Linked DNA regions of Rattus norvegicus. The protein of the gene in region 7 interacts with the protein of the main gene of each other region in a biochemical or structural test. Links are inferred from orthologs where the notes say so. Each region holds a gene or a part of one and is shown on either strand. Other genes may lie near its edges. The genes, in order: Frmpd4, Dgkz, Mapk12, Tanc1, Rps6ka1, Slc16a7 and Sntb1.

The links.
Region 1: the proteins of Sntb1 (region 7) and Frmpd4 interact in a test that uses a peptide from one of them, tested with the Homo sapiens proteins (2 studies listed by IntAct, with this or other methods). The link is inferred for Rattus norvegicus from reciprocal best matches to the Homo sapiens genes SNTB1 and FRMPD4.
Region 2: the proteins of Sntb1 (region 7) and Dgkz form a complex in vitro, tested with the Homo sapiens proteins (2 studies listed by BioGRID and IntAct, with this or other methods). The link is inferred for Rattus norvegicus from reciprocal best matches to the Homo sapiens genes SNTB1 and DGKZ.
Region 3: the proteins of Sntb1 (region 7) and Mapk12 interact in a test that uses a peptide from one of them, tested with the Homo sapiens proteins (2 studies listed by IntAct, with this or other methods). The link is inferred for Rattus norvegicus from reciprocal best matches to the Homo sapiens genes SNTB1 and MAPK12.
Region 4: the proteins of Sntb1 (region 7) and Tanc1 interact in a test that uses a peptide from one of them, tested with the Homo sapiens proteins (2 studies listed by IntAct, with this or other methods). The link is inferred for Rattus norvegicus from reciprocal best matches to the Homo sapiens genes SNTB1 and TANC1.
Region 5: the proteins of Sntb1 (region 7) and Rps6ka1 interact in a test that uses a peptide from one of them, tested with the Homo sapiens proteins (2 studies listed by BioGRID and IntAct, with this or other methods). The link is inferred for Rattus norvegicus from reciprocal best matches to the Homo sapiens genes SNTB1 and RPS6KA1.
Region 6: the proteins of Sntb1 (region 7) and Slc16a7 interact in a test that uses a peptide from one of them, tested with the Homo sapiens proteins (2 studies listed by IntAct, with this or other methods). The link is inferred for Rattus norvegicus from reciprocal best matches to the Homo sapiens genes SNTB1 and SLC16A7.

Annotation. Positions count from the first base shown.
Region 1 is NC_086039.1:30,252,958-30,256,960, reverse strand, and holds the start of Frmpd4 (FERM and PDZ domain-containing protein 4), read right to left. Parts: upstream 2,801-4,003; 5' UTR 2,800-2,800; coding exon of another isoform or gene 2,796-2,799; coding exon 2,639-2,795; intron 1-2,638. UniProt on the Homo sapiens protein: Positive regulator of dendritic spine morphogenesis and density. Required for the maintenance of excitatory synaptic transmission. Binds phosphatidylinositol 4,5-bisphosphate.
Region 2 is NC_086021.1:98,389,011-98,393,072, forward strand, and holds the start of Dgkz (diacylglycerol kinase zeta), read right to left. Parts: upstream 2,801-4,062; 5' UTR 2,647-2,800; coding exon 2,471-2,646; exon of another isoform or gene 2,467-2,470; intron 693-2,466; exon of another isoform or gene 505-692; coding exon of another isoform or gene 344-504; intron 333-343; exon of another isoform or gene 1-332. UniProt on the Homo sapiens protein: Diacylglycerol kinase that converts diacylglycerol/DAG into phosphatidic acid/phosphatidate/PA and regulates the respective levels of these two bioactive lipids.
Region 3 is NC_086025.1:122,086,308-122,089,807, forward strand, and holds part of Mapk12 (mitogen-activated protein kinase 12), read right to left. Parts: intron 3,453-3,500; coding exon 3,338-3,452; intron 2,261-3,337; coding exon 2,189-2,260; intron 2,091-2,188; coding exon 2,011-2,090; intron 1,941-2,010; coding exon 1,862-1,940; intron 1,779-1,861; coding exon 1,605-1,778; intron 68-1,604; coding exon 1-67. UniProt on the Homo sapiens protein: Serine/threonine kinase which acts as an essential component of the MAP kinase signal transduction pathway.
Region 4 is NC_086021.1:64,693,037-64,696,536, reverse strand, and holds part of Tanc1 (protein TANC1), read right to left. Parts: intron 2,268-3,500; coding exon 2,101-2,267; intron 624-2,100; coding exon 16-623; intron 1-15. UniProt on the Homo sapiens protein: May be a scaffold component in the postsynaptic density.
Region 5 is NC_086023.1:151,371,065-151,374,564, forward strand, and holds part of Rps6ka1 (ribosomal protein S6 kinase alpha-1), read right to left. Parts: intron 3,322-3,500; coding exon 3,163-3,321; intron 1-3,162. UniProt on the Homo sapiens protein: Serine/threonine-protein kinase that acts downstream of ERK (MAPK1/ERK2 and MAPK3/ERK1) signaling and mediates mitogenic and stress-induced activation of the transcription factors CREB1, ETV1/ER81 and NR4A1/NUR77, regulates translation through RPS6 and EIF4B phosphorylation, and mediates cellular proliferation, survival, and differentiation by modulating mTOR signaling and repressing pro-apoptotic function of BAD and DAPK1.
Region 6 is NC_086025.1:63,037,599-63,041,892, forward strand, and holds the start of Slc16a7 (monocarboxylate transporter 2), read right to left. Parts: upstream 2,801-4,294; 5' UTR 2,763-2,800; intron 1-2,762. UniProt on the Homo sapiens protein: Proton-coupled monocarboxylate symporter. Catalyzes the rapid transport across the plasma membrane of monocarboxylates such as L-lactate, pyruvate and ketone bodies, acetoacetate, beta-hydroxybutyrate and acetate.
Region 7 is NC_086025.1:89,058,518-89,062,017, forward strand, and holds part of Sntb1 (beta-1-syntrophin), read right to left. Parts: intron 1,792-3,500; coding exon 1,584-1,791; intron 1-1,583. UniProt on the Homo sapiens protein: Adapter protein that binds to and probably organizes the subcellular localization of a variety of membrane proteins. May link various receptors to the actin cytoskeleton and the dystrophin glycoprotein complex.

The DNA.
Region 1 (4,003 bases), on a different chromosome or scaffold from region 7:
ACTTTGAAATGGCTACGAGGGATATGAGCTCAACTCCTCTTGTCTCTATGGCATACACTTTACTCATTGAGCCATTTCCCTATCCCCCCAGAATCTATCTTATTATGAGTAGGATCTTACTATTGAGTTTTTTACTGATTTGCAAAATCTTCAGAGTAATGACAGAGGAGATTAGTATCCTTTGTTTATTAAAATAAAGACATAAACAAACATAATAAATAAATAACAAAAATCAATTGTTTCTGGAAAAGTAGAGTAAGCCTATTTTGTTGATATAGAGACAGTTGTATATCCCCATATGGGTAATTGAGATACAGTGTACTGTCATATTATAGCCTTTAAGAGATGTGATGTCACCTCACCTGATACCTGGCAGCCTCCCACATCCCAAGTCTCTAGGACTTTATAGAGTATCCCCCCAGCCCTCACTCCTGGCAGCTGTATATTTTCATTTATTCTCTTGGCCCTCTGGAATTTTCTCCTGTTTCTTCCATACATAAAACTGCCCCCCCATTTCCTCTCTCTTTCCCCTCTCCCACCCAGGTCCCTCCCTCCCTCTGCCTTCCATGATTATTTTGTTCCCACTTCAAAGTGGAATTGAAGCACCCTCACTTGGGTCTTCCTTCTTGTTTCACTTCTTAGGAGTCTGTGAGTTGTATCATGGGTATCTGTACTTTTTGGCTAATATCCACTTATTAGTACACATCATGCCTGTCCTTTTTGGTGTGTGTTACCTCACTCCAGATATTTTTAGTTCCATTGATTTGCCTGCAAACTTCATGGTCTTAGCTGAATGCCTAACAGTGGGGCGATGGAACCCGAAGAGACCACATCCAGCAGCTACACAGGGTCCCTAGCGGAGGAATGAGGACACCAACCCACCTTCAAAATTTTTGACCCAAAATTGTTCTTGTCTAAAAGAAATGCAGGGATAGAAATGGAGCAGAGCCTGAAGGAATGGCTAATCAGTGAGAAGCCCACCTTGGGATCCATCCCGTTGATGGGTACCAAACCCTGACACAATTACTGATGCTTTATTGTGCTTGCAGACAAGAGCCTAGCATGGTTGTCTTCTGAGAGGCTCTATCACTAGCTGATTGAGGTAAAGGCAGATACTTACACCTAGGCATGGGACTGAGATTGGGGACCCTTATGAAAGAGTTAGGGGAAGGATTAAAGGAGCTGAAGGGGATGGCAACCCCAAAGGATGACCAACAATATCAACTATCATGGACCCCTGGGAGCTCCCAAAACTAAGCCACCAACCAAAGAGCATATTCGGGTTAGTTGGGGCCCCCTGGCACCTATGTAGCAGAGGACTGCTCCATCTTGCCTCAGTGGAAAGGATGTGCCCAATACTGTAGAGACTTAATGCCCCGTAGAAAGGGAATGCTGAGGAGGTACTCTCTTAGAAGAAAACGGGAAGGGGGATGGGATGAAGAACTCTGGGAGGGGGACTGGGAGAAGAGGCAAAAATATAAAGCCTGTAATGATAAGGGAGGGAGGGAGGAAGACAGAGAGAGGGGGGAGGGGGAGAGGGAGAAGGAAAAGGGAGAGGGAGAGAGAGGGAAGGGAAAGGGAGAGGGAGAGGGAGAGGGAGAGGGAGAGGGAGAGGGAGAGGGAGAGGGAGAGGGAGAGGGAGAGGGAGAGGGAGAGGGAGAGGGAGAGGGAGAGGGAGAGGGAGAGGGAGAGGGAGAGGGAGAGGGAGAGGGAGAGGGAGAGGGAGAGGGAGAGGTGGTGTGTACCAGTTCACATCTGTTGTGTAATAGATGATTCCAGCAATTGTTTCTTTTCCCATTTGTGGGTTGTTAGCATGATTCAGGCCTGGCTTATCTGGACAGATCTGATTCAAATTACAGATTGGGTTAAACCGAGGTTCAGGCTTCAGGCTAACTGAATGTTTCCCCAGGAGTTTATTGTGGGGTTGAGGCTGTAGGAATAACAGAATCCCTGGGAAAACATACCTTCTTTCAGCCACAAGAGAGTTCAACAGTACACATGCATTCCAACCTTCTGCTTGGATTGTATTTACCAATGTGTCATTGGCTAAAGTCATTTACTTGATCCATGCCAACAACAATGAGGCATAGAAATTGCCTGCCTTTAGTGAGATGGAAAGGATGTGTATACTTGTAATTCAACTGTCCTGGGACTAAATACCACACTGGTTTCTATGAGGTACTTACATCCATTAGAGTGCCTGCTTATCATTGTTTGCATTTCTCCATTCAGAGGTGATACAATGGGAACAGTAATACTATCAGTGTTTTTCCTGACCCAAGGGATATGATGGATTTGGCAGTTTAAAGTCTTCTTGGAAATCAGGCATGGGCATGTAGGCAGTAAGATTGCCATGAGCTTTATGCTAGGTGGGGTTACAGGTATAGCACCAGGCATACAGTGTAACAGAGCAAAGCTCTGTCTCCAAAATACCCCAATATATACATACAAACATACATGTTCTTAAATATGTAAAATAAAGCTCACTTCACTGGCACGTTTCTGTCTTTTTTGTCAATCTATTGATAAAGTGTTACTTCACTTCACAGCTTGACCTCACAGAACTGAATTGAAGTCACTCTCACTGGGTGTGACAAGTAGTCTTATGAAACAACAAAGAGTGTCTTTGGATCCTTACCTGGTGTTACCGATCGAACGACCACTGGCTTTTCACTCCCTGCCACGAACCCAAAGCCCAGCACAGGGTCCCTCCTCATCTCCACCTTCCGTGGAGCTGGGGGAATGATTTGGCAGCTGTCAAACCGAGGGTCATCAAATGGGATTGCCTGTGTCATGTGACTGTGGAGAAAAATACAGACAAGAGAAAAGAGGTATCAATGTGGCAGTTAGGCATCGGCCTTGAAATGAAACCCATTGTCACCGAGAGAGAGAGAGTAGGAAAGATATAGAGACTCATGGTCCTCTTTTATGATCTATATATTGCTCCTTGAGAACTCTGTAATACCCACATTAGGGCTTTGCACTGACTGTTCATACAATGTGGAATGCTTGTCCTACAGATATTTGCAGGCTGCACTGTTGCCTCTGTCAAACTTCTCTTAACATATAGCCATCTTATAAAAGACTACCTTGGAATAGTATTTTAATGTTTTTTAAACCTATTTACCCTTTTTTATTTTCTTTCTCTACCAAGGTACTACTTACCTACAAATGTACTACAGAAGCCATTTATTTTTATGATGATTTTTTTATTTTTACTGTTTTGCTTTCGACAAAAATGTACATACAGCCTTTAAAGGATAAAGTACCTAGTTGTTATGTGCATAGAGCTGGGAGTAGAACCCGGGACCTCATGTATGCTATGTACCTGTTCTGCCATTCAGCTACAGACCTAGTGTTACAAACTTAATTATGTTCAATGATATATTTTCTGTACTTAGAACTGAGTGTGACTGACAGCATGTTTTCAAAAGTTAATTGAATTGATAACCAGGGAGAAAAAGTTACTTCTTTGTATAACACTATCAAGTCTTACCTGAAATGCTGACCCATGGTCTCATAAGGTAATGGACATTCCTTAGGAAGTATATATGGTACTCGAGCTTAGCAAAGTTAAAATAACTTTTAACTTATTTAATAATAAGTTAAAACATGGATGGTTTTAGTGCTGATGCACTATGCTGATACCAAATAACATTCTCCATTTCAAAAGGAACTAAGTATTTAGGTTTTGACATTTACTTTGAAAAAAATGATTTGAATGATTTAAATGAACTTTCTCATTAACTGAAGTCTTAGTAATAAATCAAGCTCGAGTATTATATGACATTTGGGAAGTATAATTCTCTTCAGTGGTGTAGCCCTTGATTATTTGCCCTTGTTCTAATAAATAACTTTCTGCCCACACTTGTGCATGAAAGTCTAAGTAAACTCAGTGAAAGAAGACATGAAAATAGAAGGGGGATCCGTTAAGAAAAATGGTTCTAATAAGAGAGGGAGAGGGATAAAAGGAGAGGGATAGGGGATAAAAAGGAGTAAGATT
Region 2 (4,062 bases), on a different chromosome or scaffold from region 7:
TCACAGTGACCACAATCAGCAGACGCCAAGCAGTGGTAGTTGGCAAATAGGTTCCAGAGAAGCACGAAGGGTTGTATGACCGCCCCCACCACGCTGGTAACTAGAGGCTCAGGGAGACTTGTCAAAAGAGCAGTGGTGACCAGTCGTAGGGTCCCTGACTGCTGGTGCCAAGGAGTTGGGCTGACTCTGTCTCCCTGCAGGAGGGTTAGGAGCTGACCCTGTCAAGGCACTAAGGACGAAGCGCACTACCAGCCGGTGCCAGCGCGCGCACCACCCGGACCGCCTGTGCCTGGCGCTTGGATACCCACGCTGGGACAGCCTGTCCCGCCGCCGCCCGGCTCACCTGTGCCCAAAGAGCCGCAGCCCCGGGAAGCGCCTCTTGGTTAAGCGCCGCGGAGCCTTGTCCGGCTCCGGATCCGCGTCGCGCTCGGAGCCGCTGGACGAGGCGGAGGCCGACTCCGAGTCGCTGCTCCGGGCCTCGGGGCTGGGGTCCCGCGGCTCCATCCGGCCCTAGCCCCGGCCGGCAGCGGGCTCGCGGGAGACGCCCATGCCGGGCCGGCGGCCGGAGCTCAGCACGCCGGCTCCGCACCGCCCGCCAAGCTCATGGCGAGCGCGCGCTCCGCCCGCCCTGTGCTGCGCGTCCCCGCGACCCACTCCCAGGTGCCGGGGAAGCAGCCTCCGCTCCAGGAAGTGCCGACAGCCGCGGCCGCAGGACCCCGCATAGCTGGCCGGGCCTCTGCCTGCCCGCCCGCCGCCGAGCACGCCCCCTCGGCCGCACAGCCGCACTCGCCCCACGGCGCCCTCTGCCGGTCTCAAACCTTGTCGCAAGCCCGTCGAGGCTGCCTGGGGGCGGGACTTACGAGGGCACCACCTCCAGCTCCGTGGCCAGCCTGCCTGTAAGGGACTGACTTCCTGGCCCGAGCCGCTCAAGCTGTTTCCAGATGTATGATTCCCCCCCCCCCCCATGTCCTCCTCCACCAAACAACCTACACGATCAAAGTACAAACACGCGAGGGCGGCTGTCACCACTTCTCCCGCATCCACAAGTTATATATTGCTCTCTTGCGCCCACTCAGCCACTCATGCGCTCTCTACCCTTACCCCCTTGGCTATCCATAAGTGCACCCACAGACAAAAGTCACACAGCGTTCTCCCTACACAGCAGGCACGCCCCTCACATGGAATTATCCTCAGTCATCAAACTCACACTTTTCTCTCACATTCAGGACACCAAAGCCATTCAATTACCTTCACACAATCACAAAGAACTTCAATGTTCCACTGACACAGTCATCCTTCTACAGCTATTCACAATGGCTTCAACCCTTCACCCACTCCTAACATAGGGAAATTTTCCCAGCACAATGTTCAATGTTCCCTTGAATCCTTATGCTGTAAGGATGAGCTATGGTACTTCCTACACATTCAAATACACACAAGGACAACAGTTACAACCTACACACTCATTCACATATACACCCATATAGAAGACAATATCTCCTACACATAGATATCCCTGAGGGCAGTGGTTACAAAGACCTCATATTTCACATACACATCCAGAAATATTCTTCATGTTTGACAAACGTTCTCCTCCAGAAGGGAGACCAGTTTGGAACAAGAAGTCACCCAGGTGACATACCATCCACATACATTTGGGAATCCACAACTCAGGTGGTCTCTAGATGCTGCAGGACTGTGCCAGGAAGACCTGGAAGTCAGTGACCCTGGTCACCTCCTCCCCAGATCATGCCACCCTGATGCCTACTGTTTCAGTTAGCCCTCGGTTCTAGAAAACCACATCCTGTGTTGCCTTCAATCTCACCCTTTCCTTTGGGGCTGTGGCAGCCCGTTTTCCAGGCCTTGCCTGCCACAAATAGTCAAAGCTAAAGGGCTGTGACCCAGGGACAAGCCTGTGGTTCTAAGCAACAGTCAACACCCCGAAGCCCAGCACTTTCTCTTACACACTGAGTTTCTAGAAGGCCTGGAGAAGCTGGCTTCAGATGTCCAGTCAGCAATGGGGACCAAGCTGGATAGGAAGAGGGCCTGACCCTGGCTTCCTGGGGGTACACATGTTTTCTTTGAGGAAGTCATCGGGTGGTTATCACCAAGTTCAGTGGGAAAAGCTGGGGGCAGGGGAAGGGGGTAGTTCGAAGATGCCATTGAGTTTACACAGTCCTTGAAGTGGATTTGAGAAAACTCCCACATTGTGTACTACAGTCCTGGGAGGGCTCTTCTCCTGACAACCCCTGCCGTTCTCTCTCAAATTCAATCTCAGAGCGAAGCCTTCTATCAAATTACCCCAAACCTGGAAGCATCAGCGCTACCTCCAAACTTCTCTAGATTGTGCCTCCATGGAATAACTGGGAAATGGATGGGTGAACCCATTTCTGCCATTCTTCCACACTATATAGAAAGTTCATAGAAGGATGAGGTTTCTGTGCCCATCCCAGGCCACCCTTGTACCTACTGTGTCTGGGGAACCTCAGCTGGGATCTGTGGCACGTCCCAGGAGCGGGAGCGCCACATCTGCCTCAGTGCCCCTGGCAGCTCGGCTTCTTTCGTCCCCAGCACCTTCGCGGGGCCCACAGCAGCAGCCACATCGCAGCCTCCCCCGGCGCTGTGGCCAGCCCCCAGTGCGCTCATCCTGCCCAGCAACTCTCTTCCTCTTTCCGCACTTCCTGACGTGGGGGGGGGGGGTTGAGGGGGGGACTGCTGCTAGAGGCCGGCTGGAGGCTCAAGCCGAGGACCACAGGGCTTCTCGGCGCCTTCCGCTGACTGGGACTGGGGCCCGAACACTGGCAAGGCACACAGCTACAAGAGAGTGCAGGGGCAGGTGGGGACAAGCCCAGCCTAGCAATCAAGAGACAACTCCAGGAGTCAAAAGCTGCCAGGCACCCACTAGACCTGCCTGGGCTGGAATTTGCACCCCAGCTCCAGGCCTTTACTTTCCAAATAAAGTCTCTGAATTTCACCTCTTGGTCCTCTAATGGTCTCTCACTTCCTGACATACCTTGTGGTACACTGGTCCCAGGTACACAGACTGGCTAGAGCCTGTCCTGTCGGTGTCTAGCTCTCTCTTAGCATCTTGTATGCACCATACCTTTCAACAGAGCTAGCCACACAGGGTGGTGGTGTACTGAAAATTGCAGAGGGTAGAAGACGCCAGCTCATGTTCAGTTTCTCCCATCTGCCAGCAGTGTGATCTGGACCAGGCCACAAATCTTCTAAAGATACCTTACATTTTTAGGGATGTGGTTATAAACAATAAATCAGTGACTACTTCTGTCAGAGCGCTTTGGGGAGCCTCAGTTTTTCTCATCTATAGAACAAATTGTAGTTTGGACTCATTGGGTTGTAAGTGGATTAAATAAGAGGTGAAAGGGGTTATAGACAATTTAGGAAATACCGGTTGGTACAACTTATGCTTAGGGCACTAGATTAGAGCAGGGGTGGAGGAAGCAAGTTGTACCTCCACAGAACCTAGAGCCTAGAAGCGGAAGACAGTCAGAAAAGACAATCCATGCCTGTTAGGCAATGAGATGTGCTATTTTAAAAAGAGAGAAAGGGGAAGCCGAAATGAATGGGGTGGGGGGAGGTGGCAGTCATGGGGATTTGGCAAGGAGGTGACATTTGAGGATGGACTCAAATGAATCATGAGAGTGAACAGACCATGTGACCATCTGGAGGATAGCATTGTGGATGCAGAGAACAGTAAAGCATGAGTTCCAAGCACGGATGAGGCAGTGTGGCTAAAGAACTGGGAGGCAGGAGGATGCTGGAAGGGTCTAAAAAAATCTGAGGCCAAACTGTCATGGAGTCTGAGGCTTCCGTGAGGGGCTCAGAAACACTAGTGAGGGTCAAGCTTGCTCCTTAGTCTTCAGGCAGCTTAGGGAGAAACTGGAAACTTTCTAACCATTTATAATTAGTTCTTTAGTTGTGTGTGTTTGTTACTCCGGCCAGACTGAATTTCTTGAGGATAGAAACAGTGTCAATTCGGTTCACAAAGACAAACACTACAGCATCTGCTGACAGTGCTACTAGCCCTCTGTGCCCCGCTGG
Region 3 (3,500 bases), about 33 Mb from region 7:
TCCTTTGGAACTCTGGCTCCTAGCTGCCTGGGAGGCTTGAAGCTGAGCACTTCCTTATACGTAACACCTGCAGGAAAGGAAGAGAAGCAAATGATACAGTTAGACAGCTTCCAACCAAGGGGAGAAGCCAGCACCCCCATGGGCTTTTTAATCTAATCCTAAATGGACCAATCCACCTAAAAACACTAAAGACTGCTGTGAAGCTAGATTTCCCCAGGCAAACAAGTGATGAAGGCTGATGTTCAAAAAATAAAATAAGGGGTTGGGGATTTAGCTCAGTGGTAGAGCGCTTGCCTAGCAAGCACAAGGCCCTGGGTTTGGTCCCCAGCTCCGAAAAAAAATAAATAAAATAAAGTAAAAGGTTTGTGTTGAGAGAGAGAGAGAGAGAGAGAGAGAGAGAGAGAGAGAGAGAGAGGTAGGTCTGTATTTAAAAAAAAAGGAAGCGAGAAAAGAAAGTGTGAGCTATGAGCTATTCGAGGTCTCAGTTGTGTGTCTGTGTGGTCTATGGTGAAAGCAACAGCATCCAGCCACAGCGAGTAGATGGAGACCACAGAACGGATCTTGTGGTACGTGGTTAAGGGAGTCATTTTGTTTAGCAGCAGAAGGGTTTCGTCACACAGAACCAAGCTCATCAGTACACAACACTTAAGGGACGAACACCTGCCAGGGCTTTTAGAACATGATACGAGAGAACCTCAACCCACCCAGTCTTTCCCACTCCAGGGTGCAAGAACAGGGCCTGGGGTCTGAGGCAGACAGGACAAGGGATGGGGATAGCATGTCCCCAGACCTCCCTACTCCCTACTGGCAGGTTGGACCTGCCAGTCTGGAGCAGACACCAGAGGCTAGTTCCAGCCCACGGAACAGTAGGCAAACTGAGAAGGCTTCTCTGGGGCCAGTTCTCAAAGAGAAGATGCTCTTCCCAGAACCTGGAGGTTCGGCACATAGATGTGGAGGGATCTGGGGCTGGAGGTGAGAAGGAAAAGTTGGGCCCTTGGGCCTGCGTGGGAATATACTGTCTTCCATGGGCAGAACATAAGAAAGATATAGTTGGGGTTGGGGATTTGGCTCAGTGGCAGAGCGCTTGCTTAGGAAGCGCAAGGCCCTGGGTTTGGTCCCCAGCTCCGAAAAAAAGAAACAAAAAAAAAAAAAAAAAAAGAAAGATATAGTTGTTTCAGGAGAGGTTCTGAAAAGGACTAAGGAGAGGAAAGGATAAATTTTAAAGGTGTGAGAAGAAAGTCCTAAGGACAGGTGGTGGTAGAGAAGGCCTCAGTGTGGTCTAGACATGAGGACACTGGGCAGTGTAGGGGTTGGGGAGAGAAAGGCCAGGGAATTAGCAAGCCAAGGGCGCGAAGCACACACAGATGCACCACGTCTGATGGCATGGGACCCATCACATGCCAGCCTTCGTCAGAGCTCCTGAAAAGGACACTCTTCACCACTGCGTTCTGCCCTAGCCAGAAGTCAACCTGGTTGAGTTGCACTGCCCCACAATGCCCTTTGACCTCCCAACTTCTTATCTAACCTGCAACCCAGGGTCGGAGGCTCATCCACACAGGACGCACAGGGTCCAAAGCCTGACATTATGTGTCACCCATACTCACGCTTCCATTCCTCAAGGGTGCGGTCTACGTCATCAAAGGAGTCATCATATTTCTGGGCCTTGGGCTCATCCTCAGTGTCCCGAAGGGACTCAAAGTATGGGTGGGCTAATGCCTCAGCTGCTGTCACCCGCTGTTCCGCATCCAACACCAGCATCTTTTCCAGGAGATTCACGGCTGTGGGGAGAGCAAATCAGGCCCAGCCACAAAAGAGGGCATACTCACCCAGTTGCCTGAAACCTTCACCCATCCAGCCCTACCCTGAGGGCTTGCATTGGTCAGGACAGAAGCAAAATCCTTCTTTTCCAACTCAGGGAGGCCTTCCATGTAGTTCTTGGCCTGTGAGGGAAAAAGGGTGATAGGCCAGCCTCTAAGTCCAAGTCCAGCCCATTGCCCACTCCCCACTGACCTCAGCACTCTGTAGCTTCTGTACAAACTCAGGAGGGGGTGTCCCTGTGACTTTCATGATCTCCTTCAGCTGGTCCAGGTCTGTATCAAGGTCAGGAATACAATGCAGGGGCAGAGGGTGGCCCACCCAGAACCCACATCATGGCCAAAGTCAAATGATGTTCTACATCGAAGGATACGGTCATTGCCTTTGAACAGGATCTTTCCAGTAATCATCTCTGCCATGATGCAGCCAACAGACCAAATGTCCACTGAGAAACGTCCATCGGTGCCCCACACACAAGGGTCACATTCACATTCATGAAGGCCAAGAAAAGGGGACACACAAGAAACCACACATAGGAGACAAGTATACGTGACAGGGAGGCAGGTGTGTACATAGGCACAGAGCAGAGACTGTCATTGAGGAGGGTGACAGAGTTCCACCCCAGTTCACTAACCTCCCAGAGGTAGGGCCTACAAATGACTCCCTATCAAGAAATGAAGGGAGCTAGAAGTGGCTAATCAGTTAAGAGCGAGGGATGCTATTCCAGAAGACCTTGGTTTGGTTTTCAGCACCTACGTGATAGCTCACGGCCATCTGTGACTCCAGTGCTAGAGAACCCAGTGCCTTCTTCTGGTGTCTGTGGGCACCAAGTACACAGGTGATGGACACGTGCACATAAGTACTTACACACATAAAATAATGAAATAGGTTCTTATAAAAATTAAGAATGCGCAAGGCCCTGGGTTCGGTCCCTAGCTCCGAAAAAAAGAAAAAAAAAATAAGAATGGGTTGGACATGGTAATACAGCCTTTAATCCCCAGGTTGTAACAGACAAAAGCAGGTCGATCTCTGTGGATTCAAGACCAGCCTGGTCTACCTAGTGAGTTCCAAGCCAGCCAGGACTACAAAAGGTCTAGAAAGCAAGCAAGCAAGCAAGCAAGCAAGCAAGCAAGAAGAAGCAGAGCCAAGTGGATCTCTGTGAGTTCAAGGCCAGCCTAGTCTACATAGTGAGTTCCAAAAATAACCAGAGCTACATAGTAAGACCCTGTCTTCAAAACAACCAAACTGAATATATATACGTACACACACATTTTTCTCAACAAATAATAAAAATGGAGAAAGGAGGGGAGAGAGAGAAGGAAGGAAGGAAGGAAGGAAGGAAGGAAGGAAGGAAGGAAGGAAGGAAGGCAGGCAGGCTGGCTGAGATGTAGCTCAATGACAGGGCACTTGACTAGCATGAATAAGACTGGATTCCATCGCCAATACTACAAAAATAATTTAAAAATAAAACGAATGTGTAAATGTGGGTGGCATGCACTGGAGTCTCTGAATAGCCTCTTACCTGTCTGTGTGTAACGCATCCAATTCAAGATGACCTCTGGTGCCCGATACCACCGGGTTACCACATATCCTGTCATCTCACTGTCCGCCTGCCTGGCAAGGCCAAAATCTAGGATCTAAAGAAGTATCAGGGAGGTGGAACTTAGACACCGAGGATAGACCAC
Region 4 (3,500 bases), on a different chromosome or scaffold from region 7:
AAGCATCTGCGTTACCTGGGCTCACACAGGAAGGCTGTGCTTTCGCCATCCGCTCTCCACACCAGCCACTCTCTGAAGGACGGGTGGCAGAACATCCGGGTTTTGTCTCTCCTCTTAATGAGGAAGCAAGAGAGGGCCTCCATCCTCTGCTGAAAGTCCTCCCAGCCCTGCTCGCCTTGGATGTGGCCGGCGTTGATCGCCTGGAATATCTGCTCATCCGTCATGGGGTGGAGGGACGCGAGGGCCACGTTCAAAATGGGAAGGGCTCGGTCGAAGGCAGACTGGGTCATGAACTTCATGTTGCACTGCAGCAAATAGAGCTCAGACAGAGACACAGGCACCACCTTGTAGCTGGCGCTCTTTATGACCAGGTGGCCCCGCTGGAAGAGGTCCAGCGTGAGCTTGAGGTACAGGTAGGAGCCAAGGCTCCGCAGCACCAGGTGGCTGCTGACTTTGCCGATGAGGGCGGCGTCGGCCTTGCCGTTCAGGGAGATGTTGCTGAGGATGTCCTGACTGCTGTGGACCCTGTGCTGGACGTATGCGTGCAGGTCGCTGTGGATGTCCTGGTTGCCTGGGAAGTCGTCTAAGGAAAGCTTGACAAAAGGCAGCGTGCTGATGATTTCCTGAGAGAGAAAAAAAAAAACGCAATCCCGGTGTTAGCCCCCAAAGAGATTCCCTCCCACTTTAAACCAGGCTCGCCCGGCCCCTTTCAAGGAGGATTTCCGTGGATTACAGGGACTCGCTGTTTTGTATTCAAACATGTAATAGGATGAGGTACTGATAAAAAGCTTAAGTGAAAGAAATCCTGAGGGGAGATAGGATCTCTCCCAAAGCCCCCACTAAGGACTCTGGGCCAAGGGAGCAGAGGGAGGGGCCCCAGGAGGCAGCAGCAGCAGCAGCAGCAGCCAGGCCACACCAACAGAAGGGGCAGAGAGACCCTGCAGGTGACCCGATACCCATAATCCCTGAGCGGCTGGTTCTAGAACCAGGGTAAACACGAACCAACACGGCGCGTCTAAGAAGGCAGCCAGACCCTGAGGTAAGACGTGCCCTCTCCGCATCAGATACCAGGGCTGTGTAACCCTGCCAGGGAACAGGAGACTTCCCGCTCGGCCTGTGTCCCCAGACCACGAGCAGCAGGAATCACTTCCTGCTCTGCTATAGCACGTTCTCAGTTTAAAAGAATTTTAAGTATTCTTTTCGAAAAAAGTATTTTGTTTTGTCTGCATGTCTGTGCACCAAGTGCATGCCTGGTACCCATGACGAGGGTGTCGGACCAGGGAGGTAGAGCTCTGGTGGTTGTGAGCCACCGTATGGGTGCCAGGAAGCAAACCCAAGTTGTACAAAAGAGCAGCCCACGTTCTTAATCGCCGACCCATCTCTCCTTGGCTGAATCTGAAGTGCACAGGGTCACTGACGTTCCTGCTCCTTTATTCCCAAGACAAGGTCCTAGCCCCAAGAAACGATTTAACTTCTCACGAACTCTTCTGAAGCCCACGCCGTTTTTTTAAGGTAGTAATGGCAGGAAGAGGGTAGTGGACGGCCGCTCCCGTGCTGCGCGGAAACTGATCTTAGCAACAAGCCAGCACAGGGATACAGGAACCAGTTCCAAGTTTTAACCCAGCTGCTAGATTGTGCTTAGTGTGGGAGACCTGACTGAAAATGTATGACCCCAAAGGTCATAGAGAGAAGCGTGGGCTGCCATTTAAATGTAGGTTTAGTTGCGGGTTTTAGTAAGGAAAAATCATGAACACGATTACCCAGCTCCACGAAATGAAACAAGTCATGCCCATAACAAATGGCTCCCAAACCCAGAAGCTCCAGTACTTTGCTTGACCGGAAACCTCAGTCGGAAATCTCAGCCCGTTCACACCTCACTACAGAAGCCAGCTGCCATTTCACTGACAGTAGGCTGCTCAGCTGACACTGTGACGATTCTTGTTCCTATGGGACTCTCTGAACCACTTTTTTCAAAGTCCCAATAATGGTTTTCAATTCAGTAGCCAAACGGGCTCTAACACTAGCCCAGGAGCACTTGCCTCTGTATATGTGGGGTGTGGGAACTTGGAAAGAGAGCGGGGGATGGGGGGTATTTGTCACCTGAAAATCTGCTCTCACGGTCACGATCAACTTCAGCCAGGGGGGGAACTTAGGAATGATTTTGGTAATGAATGAAGACAGCGTGTCCCCGTAATCAGGCTTATGAAATTCGGCTTCATTCAAGCCATCTATCAAGATGATGTATTCCTCTTCTGGAATTTTCTGCTCTGAAAGATGAAATGATTTTTAAGCAAATTAAGAAATGATACGTTTCTGTCACATGGCGCCACCCAGTGCATCTTAACATGCAGCTTAAAAGTGTTAGCAAAACCTCAAAAAGGTTTACATATGGCAGGAGACACGTTTTTCAACGAACCATATTTCCTATTAAATTTATAATGGAAAACAGAGCGCCGAGCCAAAAGAAAACCAAGTCTTACAAAACAGTTCTCAGAAACATGCTGCATTACAGACATCAGCACAGAGCTCAGTCTTACACAGTTAGTTCTGCATCCCAGGCTCATGTAGAATGCAGTTAGTTCTTCACAAACCCGGTAACCTGCAGCCAAAGTCACTGACATGCAGACCGCCTAAACCTGGAGCAGACACCTGGCCCACTGCTGGAACCCCTCAGCTGCCTGACTCCGAAATCCGAGGACCAGGAGTTCCCCATGGCACCACCAAGGGCTGTGTGGCCAGAATCTCTGGGCAGTGAAAGTGCTGCTTCACGGATGCCCAGGGCAGGTCCTTTGCACAGCAGCCTAAAGCTGGTTTTCTGTTTTACTAGCAACAGCTTCCTGCTCAGGGTACAGAGAGAGCATGACACAGCCATTTCAGACCCTCTTTCCAGTATCTTCTAGCAGAAGATGCTTTGTAGATGGGTAACTCAAAAAGGAGGAAGGTAAGGGATGGAAACCTGGAGGATCAATGATGTCACTGACAATCCTACCTGAGAAGGGGAAGGCGGGGGGGGGGGGGGGGGAACTAAATGAAAACTCCTAGAAATGGTATTAGATATAGATCTCAACTCATCTAATTAGGGGTTGTGGGGGGAGGGGAACATATTGGAAGATTCCCAACAATGCACTGGTTTCACTGCGGCCTGGAGTGTAGACGCTCTTCAGTGTGTGTTTTACCTACACGGAGCACTGTTATGTGCCTCCTCGAAATCTGGACAACTGTGATGGAGAAAACAAGGAAGTAATTCCGGGCAGCCCCCTGCCCACCCTTTTAGCTTACAGCCAGGAGAAGACTTTCTACCAGGAAAAGGGAAGCAGAGGGCAGGGTCCCAACCTCTGGAGAAGCGGAGAAGTCTGGGTATCAAAGCTCACCAACTACTTACAACAAGCATTAATCTTCCCACGGACTCATCTTCCCAGTTCCCTGCCTCTGAAGGCCCAAGCTGTTTCCTGTTTTGTTTTGACATCTTACTACTTCTAAAAGATCCTTCAGAAGATGAG
Region 5 (3,500 bases), on a different chromosome or scaffold from region 7:
ATGCAGGATCAAGTACAATGTCCCACTGAGTAGAAAAGTGATTCTGGCCGCCTCCCCAAGCCCCAGTCCTACTTTAATGCTTTGGAGCAGAATGCCCAATACAGACCATGTCACCAAACGGTCCTGCGAAAGAACCCAATCGTAAGTATGAACAAGAGCCTGACTGTTCTACAGAACCAGCTCAGGGACTAGAGGCTTTGGCCCTAGGTATGAGCAGAGGACATCATGATTCCCTACTCCCACCCCGTCACTAAAACACATAACTGGATGCCGATGGTTAGACATGGTCATGATAAACCCCCTTTCGAATTCTTCCACTATAGACACAGTTAAATCCAAGAAGACTAGAATTCCTGGAAGTTCAGTGGCCTGTAATAGCTAAGTTTTCTAGCTGGGTACAGAGCTATAATGTCTGTAATCCCAACACTGGGAAGGCTGAGGCAGGTGGATCTCTGTGAGTTTCAGGTCGGCCTGGCAAGGCTGCAGGGTGACTTCATAACTAGCCTGGGCTACATAGCAAATTTTAGGCTAGCCTAGGTTACATTCTAAGACTTTATCTCAAAACTAATAAAAACAAAAGCTGCAAAGGCTGCCAAAGCTGTCGCTGCTCTCACCTAACGAGGCCTCTCTAGTCTCAAGGCCTCTGAGAGGAATCTTGCTTCATAATCTCATGGGTGAAAATACTGGAACCTATAGCTTTACAGGTGAGAAAGGGGAAGGTCAAATGCAGAGGCCAAACCTTGCTCTCACCTTAAGTATGTTCCATTCCTATTTTACCTTTTTTTCCTGTTTATCTTGGGTTTGGAGAGATGACTCAGTGGTTAAGAGCACTGGCTGCTCTTCCAGAGGTCCTGAGTTCAAGTCCCAGGAACCACATGGTGGCTCACAACCATCTGTAATGAGATCTGATGCCCTCTTCTGGTGTGTCTGAAGACAGCTACAGTGTACTTATATAAATATAATAAATAAATCTTAAAAAAAAAAAAAAGAAAAGAACGAAAGAAACAGGGCCCAGGTGGATGAGGTCACATGCATTTGAAGACAAAGTCTCTCTATGTAGATCAGCCTGTCCTTGATCTCATAAAGATTTGTCTGTCTCTGCCTTTTGAGTACAAGAATTAAAGGTCTAGGATATAGAAGGCCCTACCTCAAAAACAAAAATTCTTCATCTACAGGTATTTCCAGGTCAAGCATCAATTCCTGTTCAATGTGGCTAGTCAGAGGCAGGCTGCATGGTACCCTTCTTATATTTGTTTGTTTTGAGGCAGGCCTGAGGAGATGGTTAAGAACACTAGCTGCCCTTCCAGAAGACTAATGTTGATGCCGAGCCCCATGACTGGTGGCTCACACCTGCCCTCTTCTGGCCGGCAGTGTGCACCTTCGCTCACACGCACATAGCATTTTTTTGTTTTGTTTTTTGGAGACAGGATTTCTCCGTGTAGCCTACTGGGCACATAGTTCTGGGTTATACTCACGACAGTCTGTAATTCTATTTCTATAAGACCCGATGCCCTCTTCTAGCCAATGCAGGCACTAGGGAACTAAATGTGGTACACAGACATGTTTGCAGGGAAAACACCCCCCCCACACACTCATGCACGCACGTGTGCGCACGCACACACAAGCTAAACAAGCCACAGTGAGCAAATCAGTCAGCAATGCTTCTCCGTGGTCTCTGCTTCAGTTCCTGCCTCGATTTCCCTCAACTGGACTGTGGCGTGGGAAGTATAATCCAAATAAACCTTTTTCTCCTTGTCACGGCAATAGAAAGCAAAAGAGGGCGCCATGTAAACACTGGGCAGACACAGCAGGATCCCTGTAATCCTAACACTCAGGAAGCGGAGACAGGGATGGATCTGAAGATAAATTGCTTGGCTAGTCAGCACAGTCCTGGAACAACTCGAGACCCTGCCTCAGTATATACACAATGTAGCGTGACTAAGGACAACATCCAACGTCAACCTCAGATCTCTACACTCAAGCACACGTATGCATACCAGCCCGCATACTCGCCTAATCAAATGCAAGCTCACACACACACACACACACACACACACACACACTACACACATACATACTACATACACTACACACACATACACACTACATACATGCTATACGCACACACTACATACACACATCCATCATACATCCATATACTACATACATACATACATACATACATACATACATACATACTACATACTTGTAGATGTGTGACGTGGTGGTGGCACATACCCAAGGCCTAACTCTAACATGTGATGCTCCTCCTCCCTTGGCCTCTCAAGTGATTACAGGTGGGAAGCCATGTCTAACTTCCTATACTTTTTTCCTCTTTGGAAATAAGGTGTCACTAGTTGGATCAGGCTGACCTCTGACTCCTGAGTGCTGAGATCAAAGGCTCAGGACACCAGACTGCCATCACTGTTAACCCTTCACTGTCTGATCAGACGCTCCCCAAAACATCACCCAAGCCAAGAGAGAACCACTATGAGGAACTTGAACCGCCCACTCAGCTTACCCACCAAAGCAACATCAACAAAGAAAGCCATACCCTGCTCTTTGGCCCCACCCATTCTCTCTCTCTCTCTCTTAGTACCTGGGTCATCCTCTCGAATACCCTGCATCTTCCAAACAAAAATCTACCCCTCCTTGCAACTTCTGGTCACCATTTTCCCCGGTTGTCTGATCCTGGGAAAAAGACTGTACAGCTCCAACCCTCAGACTCCCCCCCCCCCCCCAAGGGCTGGGGACCGAACCCAGGACCTTGCGCTTCCTAGGTAAGCGCTCTACCACTGAGCCAAATCCCCAACCCCAACCTTCAGACTTTTGATCTGTCAAGTGCCAGTAACCTGACAGGTCATTCAACCAATCAAACATCTAATTCAGGATTTGGTGAAAATCCCACTGAAAGAACCAAGGAAACTTTCTCTTACACTTGTCCTGGTGTGCGGCACACACTAGGTGTGGCACACAGTAGGTTCTGGACAAATGGTCTTGAGCCAGCCCTCATCTCCCCATTCCTCTTACAGCCAGCCACCTACCCAACCGGAGTCCCCTCTGACTGGCAATTTGGAGACGGTCCCTCATGAGCCAGCCAGTTCTTGCATTCTACCCAGGTCACGACCTTGGACACCCCCAACTCCTCTCACGGAGACTTACCCCTTGGGAGTGCAAGTATTCCACAGTCTTGCTGATGGTGTACAGGACGAAGCTGGCCTCCCGCTCTGAGAAGAATTTCTGCCGTAGGATCTTATCCAGCAGCTCCCCGCCCCTCATCAGCTCTGTCACCAGGTATACGTGCTTACTGTCGTCATACACCTGCCAGAGACCTCGTCATCAGGCTGCGACCTCACCCACCAGCTCTCCAGACAAGCAAGCCTCAAGGCTGGGTTCTGCCAACATTTATTTCAGGGCCCACCACCCGTTTGGGCTCCCGTCTTGCTGGACAGTGGGCGCTGGTCTCATCTATGATGGTCAGAGAATGCTGGAGTCCTCAG
Region 6 (4,294 bases), about 26 Mb from region 7:
CAAATGAAGCAGAACCTGGGTCAGGCAAGGACCGGAAGAGGCAAGAAAACGCAGCCCAGCCTACGCCTTATTTCACACTTCCAGGCTCTAAAATGGAATGAGACTAATTTTCAGTTGGTCTAAGCCACCCACGTGATGGGGCTTTGTCAGGGCAAAGCTAGGAATGCTGAGGAGGATACATCCCATACCAGGCCCATTGCTCTTCGAACTGGCAGGCTTGGCACACTGTACCAAGTAGGTCAAGGGCTACAGGCCCCTCTTAGAACTCACATGTAATGGTGACTGTCACTGGTCATGTGACTCACCCATGATCTTCAAAGCCAGTGGACATTAAATATCCTTCCTGGTCTTGAACCCGCTTGCTTTTTTTCCCCCAAGAAATAAAAAAGAGAATCTGAAGTCTTATGATTTCTGAGTTACTAAATCTATCAGAACCTGACAAACTTCTACAGTGTATAATTCAGGTAGTCTGTGTCTAATAATGGAATAAAGAATCAGAGATAAGCTTTTTGGTGGTAGCTCGATTTGCAAACTTGGGCTTGTGAGCTGAAAAGCAAATGTAAAACATGGTGTTTAAACTACTTGTTATGTGCCAAGGGAAGAATATACTAGAACTATAAAAAATCTGCACATATCCAACACAAAACAATGACAACAACAACAAACTTCAGGCTTCAGGGACGGTTCAGTGGGTAAGAGTCCTTGATCTGTAGTCATAAAGACCTGAGATCAAATCGCTGCCATTCATGTTTGAAACCTGGTATAGCTGTGTGCTTGCAACCTTGTTATCGGAAAGGTGAAGCCAGGAGGAGGACCCCAAGGGATCACTGGCCAGCTGGCCAAGACAAAATGGCAAACTTACTGTTCAGTGAGAGACTGTGTTTCTTCTAAGGACATAAAGGCAGGTGAAATCAAGAAAGAAAACACCCTCAAACTCTGGTCTTGTCTCTGCACACATCAGCATGAGTATACATGTGCACACATACATGCATGCTGCAAACATTCCACACTACATACAAATTTGTGATGGGCAGACACACCCAGACACAGACGTAGAGATATGAACACACACACACACACACACACACACACACACACACACACACACACAGTCTTAACTGTTAGAATCTAAAATGTTTTACAGTGTCACGGCAAATGATTGCTCTGTTTTCGCACTACACGTGGATCATTTCAAACTTCATATGAGCATTTTTACATTACTATATACTTTGACTTTTAATAATAAGACTTCAATAATCTTAAATTTCCTTAAAACTTTCTTTTAAAAAAAACTCTTTAAAACTTCAGTCACCTCAGAGCTTATGAATTATAGACGTCTCAACATTGACTTGATGTGCACCCAAATAAGTGGCGACATTCTTATCCCTAACTTTGACAAATTCCTCCTGTAAGGAGACCTTAAATAAACCTAAGCAAATACAGCAACGCACAGGATCAGGTTTTACAAGTCCAGCTGATAAACAGACTCAATGCCAGAGGTGAACCAGAAACCATCACTGGCCCCTTGCACTTGAGCTCACTTGAGCTGTGGGTGTTTGCCAGCTCTGCTCCAAAGCAGAGATTGTTTAGGGAATAAACCAGCGAGAGCGTAGAGTAGCACACCACCAGCCCTACTCGTCACCCAAGAGCAGAGGTCTTGTTCTACTCCCAGCCGTGCCCATTATGCTGCCGAGTCCCCTCCCTGGACACTGTTCCTTGTGTATGAAATGGATGTGCCTCTGTGTTCCCACCAGCTCTAGATTTCAATTGCAAAATCATCAATCATTGTCTGATGTTTAATTTCAGCTGTGGAGAAGGCAACTGTGAATGGAAACACATACGGAGCATCGCGGAAGTGTCGGGCTGCTGACGCAATTGGAAGCTCATGTGGTTTTAGTCTACATCCCACCAGCACAAGTTCCTTGGCCTTGGAATTCTGTTGAATAAAGACACCAGTGGGCAGACACTTCTGAAAGGAACAGAGACTTTCTCTGAGTCTGCCTCATACGGGCTCCTGTGACTGAGCAATGAGTCCTTAGTGATAAACACTGATGCAGAATAACCAGTTCTAAAGATGTACAATGTATATACGGATATCTTCAGGAGGTGGCTTTACACAGGAAACTTGGATGACCAAGGTCTTTAGTTACACTACCACTTCTCAATGGTACCACACGAAAAACAACTACACCATAACCACCTATCTTCCACCATACCAACTTACCTAGCTTGCATACCAAAAATAATGTAGTTTATTTTAGGACTTTCCAGCCAAGCACACATATTTATAAGATGTAACAACTCATCTAAGAAATAAGGACACTTTACTGTTAGATAACATAAAGTACAAATTAAATAAAAATTTAATGAGTAAAAAACTACTCTTATTTTTCAAAATAAAGTGGTACCCATGATTTAAAACCATTCCTCCAAATCAAAATTTGGCAGGCTACATGATGTGAGGTATTCTTTGAGATAATTAGGATTAATTCATCTTTCAGCCATGGGGGCTAAGAACCACAATAGCAAATTTCATAGAACATTTTAAAATTCTCTTTGCAACTGCAAGCACACAATGTCTCATCAGCCAGCCTTAACTCGGTCCACTCCAGAAATTAAGTACTATTCCACAAGGCAACATTTATGAGTTTTAACTGTACTTTATAAACTTAAAACATGAAATTGAATAACAAGAATGAAGCAAGCCATGCCTATAGTCTACCAGAGCCAAGGTGAGCACAGTTTTAGAGATTTAATGTTACCTGGAGAGCGAGAGAAAAGCCGCATTAGCCACTTGTTGGGGACTCGGAGCTGAGAGCACAGCGATTGATCATTAACTTTTAGCCAGAAGCAAACTTGCACACAGCTCTCCAGAGGCCGAGGCTCCACTTTCCCTCCCTTCTTTCCTCTCAAATAGGGGAAAGGTAGTTTGCTCTCTCTTCTTGAAGAACTTGCTTTGACATGCACAATTAGTTCAGACTTCTCACGGTGTAACGTAAACTGGGCTTAAATTATAGCCAGGGTCAAAAAGGTGACGTGTCTGGCACTCAGAATTGCTACGTTTAACCTTCCGATTTTCCTTCTCTGTAGCTGAAGTGGGCAGGCTTTCAAGGGTATTTTCCCCAGCGTGTAATTTGATACCGCGTCTGGAAGGCGCAGTAAAAATCCCTGTACAATGAGCGTTGCTGTGTCTATGAACCTTAGCAGAATCTGAGACTGGAGAAGACAGAATTATGAATAGTAACGAAGAGGTCAAGGGCACAGACCTTCGTTTGGTTGCCTGAAGTGGACTTGGGGTTGCTATCCTGAATCGCTCTTCATCTTTGTCTTAAATTGAGAAATGGCCTCTCGCTGACCGGGAAGCTCATGGATTCCGCTAGACCTGGGCAGCCACGGAGCCTCTGCACCTTTCGGGCTCCACCTCCTCAGTGTTATGGTAACGGTAGCTTGTTGTCACTCTTGGAATTTTACACGGTGCTGTGGACACGTACAGCAGACACTGACAGCCATCTCTGCAGCCCTTAGGAGGTATTTCACCAAACAAATTCTCATCCATTACCCCATTCTTCGAACTACATAAGACAGGCACCGTGTGAATATTTTGAGTATGGGCATATTGATGTGTGGAGTTTCAGTTACTTATGTATGGTCCCTGGCTTCCATCTCTAATTTCTAAAGGATCTAAGGTCCCTATTTCTCTGTACTAAACAGCAGAATGTCTCTAAGTTCCATGGTGGTGGAGGCGGGGGGCGACTTAAGTGCTAATTGTGGACGTGATTCCTGAACTTACCTGAGAGATGGGCACCAGGGCAAGCCTATAGGGATTTTCCTGATTACATTCACCGGTGTAGGAAGCTCAGTCTTAACATAGGTTGGGGTCATCCTTGTTGTGGGGAAAGCGAGTGCAGGGCCAAGATGCCTGCATTGCTCCCTCTCTGCCTCTTACTGGGGACAGACAGGATGTGACCTCAGGTTCCTACTTCAGTAACTCCCCTCCCATGAGGGACAATAACCTGGATTACAAACTAGAATAAAACTTGAAGTTTCCTTGGTCAGAGTATTTTATCACAGTAACAGGCAAAGAAACTAAGATGAGGTTCATGGTTTCCAAAGAGGGAAAGAATTCAGTTCTCTAGAACTGAGTACCAGGTGCCAGCCTGTTGCAAAACATGTTTCTCCAAGATTTCAATTCTGTGTGTAATAATCATAAGGACCAAGCAACAAAGACAATTCTTTTCTAGACATTCTCTCTGATGTTTTTTGACCAAATAAGGCAATTCCTTTTCCCAATGTA
Region 7 (3,500 bases):
CTCAAAACCCGGTGTTCAGAAGCACTAGAAGCACTGCAGGGTCAAGGGATAGCAAGCAGACATAAGAACAATGGCCAAGGCTCCTTTGAGCCTTACTATCCCCAACATAGAACATGCTTTGGGAAAGAAAATCTGAATAACAGTCTTAATGTTATATACAAACTTTAATACATATAACTTAATGTTATATATAAACTTTTCCATGGCAGCAGTCTTCCATGAGACACAGTTGTGTCTTCACCACCACTACCACCACCACTCCCCCCCCATTACCACCACCACCACCACCACCCCCATCACTGCCTCCACCACTACCATCATTATGTAAAAGAACTATTTTTTTAATCCATCATTTTTATAAAAGCCAAAGAGTGATATATTCCACATTAGCCCATCTTTGGTTCAGAGATCTTTATTTAGTTGCCTGATTTGTTAAAATGTCTAAGCTAAGACTTTATGAATTATATTTACAGCATAAATTTAAGCTTCTGCAGTTGCAACCCTGTGTTAGATTTTCATCTTGTCCCTTTTGTCAAACATATGCATGACTTCTTATACACACATGTAAAAATAGGAATAGGGACAATCTAGGAAAAGGAAGAAGACTGGCCGAAGGGGGAAGGAATCAAGGAGTGAAATAATATATATGAATATATATGCCATTATGAAACCCATGATTATGAATGAGAAATATACTCTAATAACTAAGTTTTAACTGCTTACTGATCTAGTTTGTTTACACTCTTGCCTCACCCTGTATCCCATACAAAATAGATGCTCATTAAGAATGACATTTTTGGAAGAGTACCCTCATGGAAGCAGGGGGAGGGGGAAGGAATGGGGGTTTGAGGAGGGAAAACTGGGAAGGGGGATAACATTTGAAATGTAAGTAAATAAAATAACCAATAAAAATACAATTTCAAAAAAAAGTACAAGGAATAGATAAGGTGACAATGAATCAGCACAAAGTAGTTGCCCAATAAATCCTCATTATTAATATCATCACTGTCATTTATAAACATATAATTCCTAACAGATTTATTTAAATAAAATAAAAGCAAGTTCATTAAAATCCATAGCATCCATCTCCTAGATGCTGTACCAGAGCACATCACAGAAATCAAACTATTCATTAGCCTTCTCATTTGTCCATTGAGCAGTTACTTGCTTGGGCACATAACCGGCATGGTGGTTTGAATAAGCCCATAGGACCACAGGGAATGGCACTATTAGGAGGTGTGGCCTTGTTTGAGGAAAGGTGTCATTAAAACTCATTCTGACAAACCATTTCAACTCCCTTTCTCCTAGATGCTGTACTAGAGAATACTACAGAAATCAAACTATTCATTTGCCTTCTAATTCGTCCATGGAGCAGTTAGGGACCATATGTACTTTGCCACATATTTGAAGTATGCTAGGAAATGAATGTTGATTAACACAAATTCCCCACATACTGCAATGCTATGAGATCTTCTGCGATAGACAAGAAATCCAATTACCCGTAAGGAGAGAAGCAGCCTATAAAATGATTGAATTTCAGTGGAGGAACTTGTGGGCAATTGACAGAGGAGACTTTCTCTTACCTTTTCTGCAAGCCAGCCAAGATGCCTGATCTCACGACTGCCAGCAATACCTGTCTTCCCCAGCTGCTCCCTGATGTCAGCAACCACACGGACCAGCAAGTCACCAACGTTGGAATGGATAGCACTGAACCAGGCTTGGGCAGTGGCAGAGTCCTTACTCCTCAGGACCACTGTGTGCTTAGCATCTGGCGAGTGAATTTCAAGCTGCCTAGGGAGGCAAACAGAGGAGTTGCAGGATGACCTGGTAGTCCTTGCTTCACCACAGCCAACCTTTCTAAGGTGAATACCATGTTTACTCTGGACATTTACATTTATGGTTCCACTATTCCATCATTCATGGGATCATTAATTCAAATCATCAGCTGCCCAGGCTCTGGTTTGTGCCTTTGGAACACAGCATAACAGCATCATCACAAACGCCAACTCCCCCAAAATAAGGATATCTCATTTTCCTGTGATGCAGCAGATTCTGAGATCATATTAATTCAGTTGCACAGAGGATTTTAGTATTTCCCCAACACCATTGCTACTGTGGTAGGAAGCAGACCTCAGTAACTGGCCATGTTCTTAACCCCATTTCCCACTATTAGTCAAGATATTTTAAAATAGTAAATGGTCAAATCTTATATTCTTTGATTTTCATTCTTTTTTTTTTTTTTGAGACAGGGTCTCATGTAGCTCATACTGACCCCCAAATTCCATGTAACTGAGGAAGATCTTTAACTATTAATTCTGCCTTCTGTTCTTGCCTTTCAGGTGCTAGGATTGTATGTGTGTACCACTGTTCTCTAGTTGTCAAACCTTTATTCTTTAGGAACCTCATCTGTGGTACACTTAAGTATGACTAAATCACATATACACATCTCACAGTTAATACTGAACATCAAAGCTTATGCCAGAGTTGAAATTGGACCACTCAAGGTGTAGTTGAAAGGATCTGTTTATCTTAATAGTGGGATATTTTAGACAGGCTCTGAGGTGGTTTGAATTTGAATGGTCCCCATAGGCTCTTATAATTGATTGTTAAGTTACCAGGTTCTGGAGTTCTTTGGGAGGATTAGAAGGATGAGAAGGAAGTATGTTACTAGGTGGTGGGAAGGGCTGTGAAGCTTTGAGGTCTCAAAAGCCAGAGAAGGGCTGGGGTACTACTGCCAGGCATAAGGGTGCTGCTCCTTGGCAGAATGTAGACTTTGGGACTTTGGATTACAGAAGCAGCTGCACATTTTGAGTGGGGTTTAACAGGTCATACTAGTAGGAGCATGAAAGACAGGGGTTCTGAGACCAATGTAAATTATGATGGCTCTGATAACAGGTTTCAGAGGGAAAGAATATTAAGTGACCTAGAGACCATTCTTACAATATTTCTGGCAATGTGGATACTCTCTGCTATTGCCCCAAATTCTGCCTGTGGCTAAGAAAGGAAAGTTTTGGGCTAATAACACTGGCAGAGGAGATTTCAAGACAGTCTAGTATTAACTGTGTTGCTTGATTCTTAGTGGTCAGGATTATGCAGACCTATAATGAAAAGGAGCAAGCTGGACAAAAAGAAATACAAAATGTAAAGTGAAAAGAAGCACGAGGAAGTGTAATGGAACTAAGTTCAATGCTCAAAGAAGTAAAAGTTTAAGGTATAGCCTAATACTAAATGGAATAAAGGGAGCTATAATTTCAGGGCAAGGCCTCACCCAGCTAAGATTCAACTTGTAAGAAGGAATTAAGGAAAAGCTTAAGCAGTGAAGGAAACCATCAAAGATAGCGAGCTGATGTGAATGTAATTGAAAGAGTGGGCCAAGTTCCAGTTCCACCAAGCAGCCGAACTTGGCAGCTTTGGCAACATGGTTCTGGCTTTAGAGTGAAGGATACAAGAAAAGGGTTGTGTAATCTCTCTCCACGGCTAAGAAAATCTGCCAAGACCAG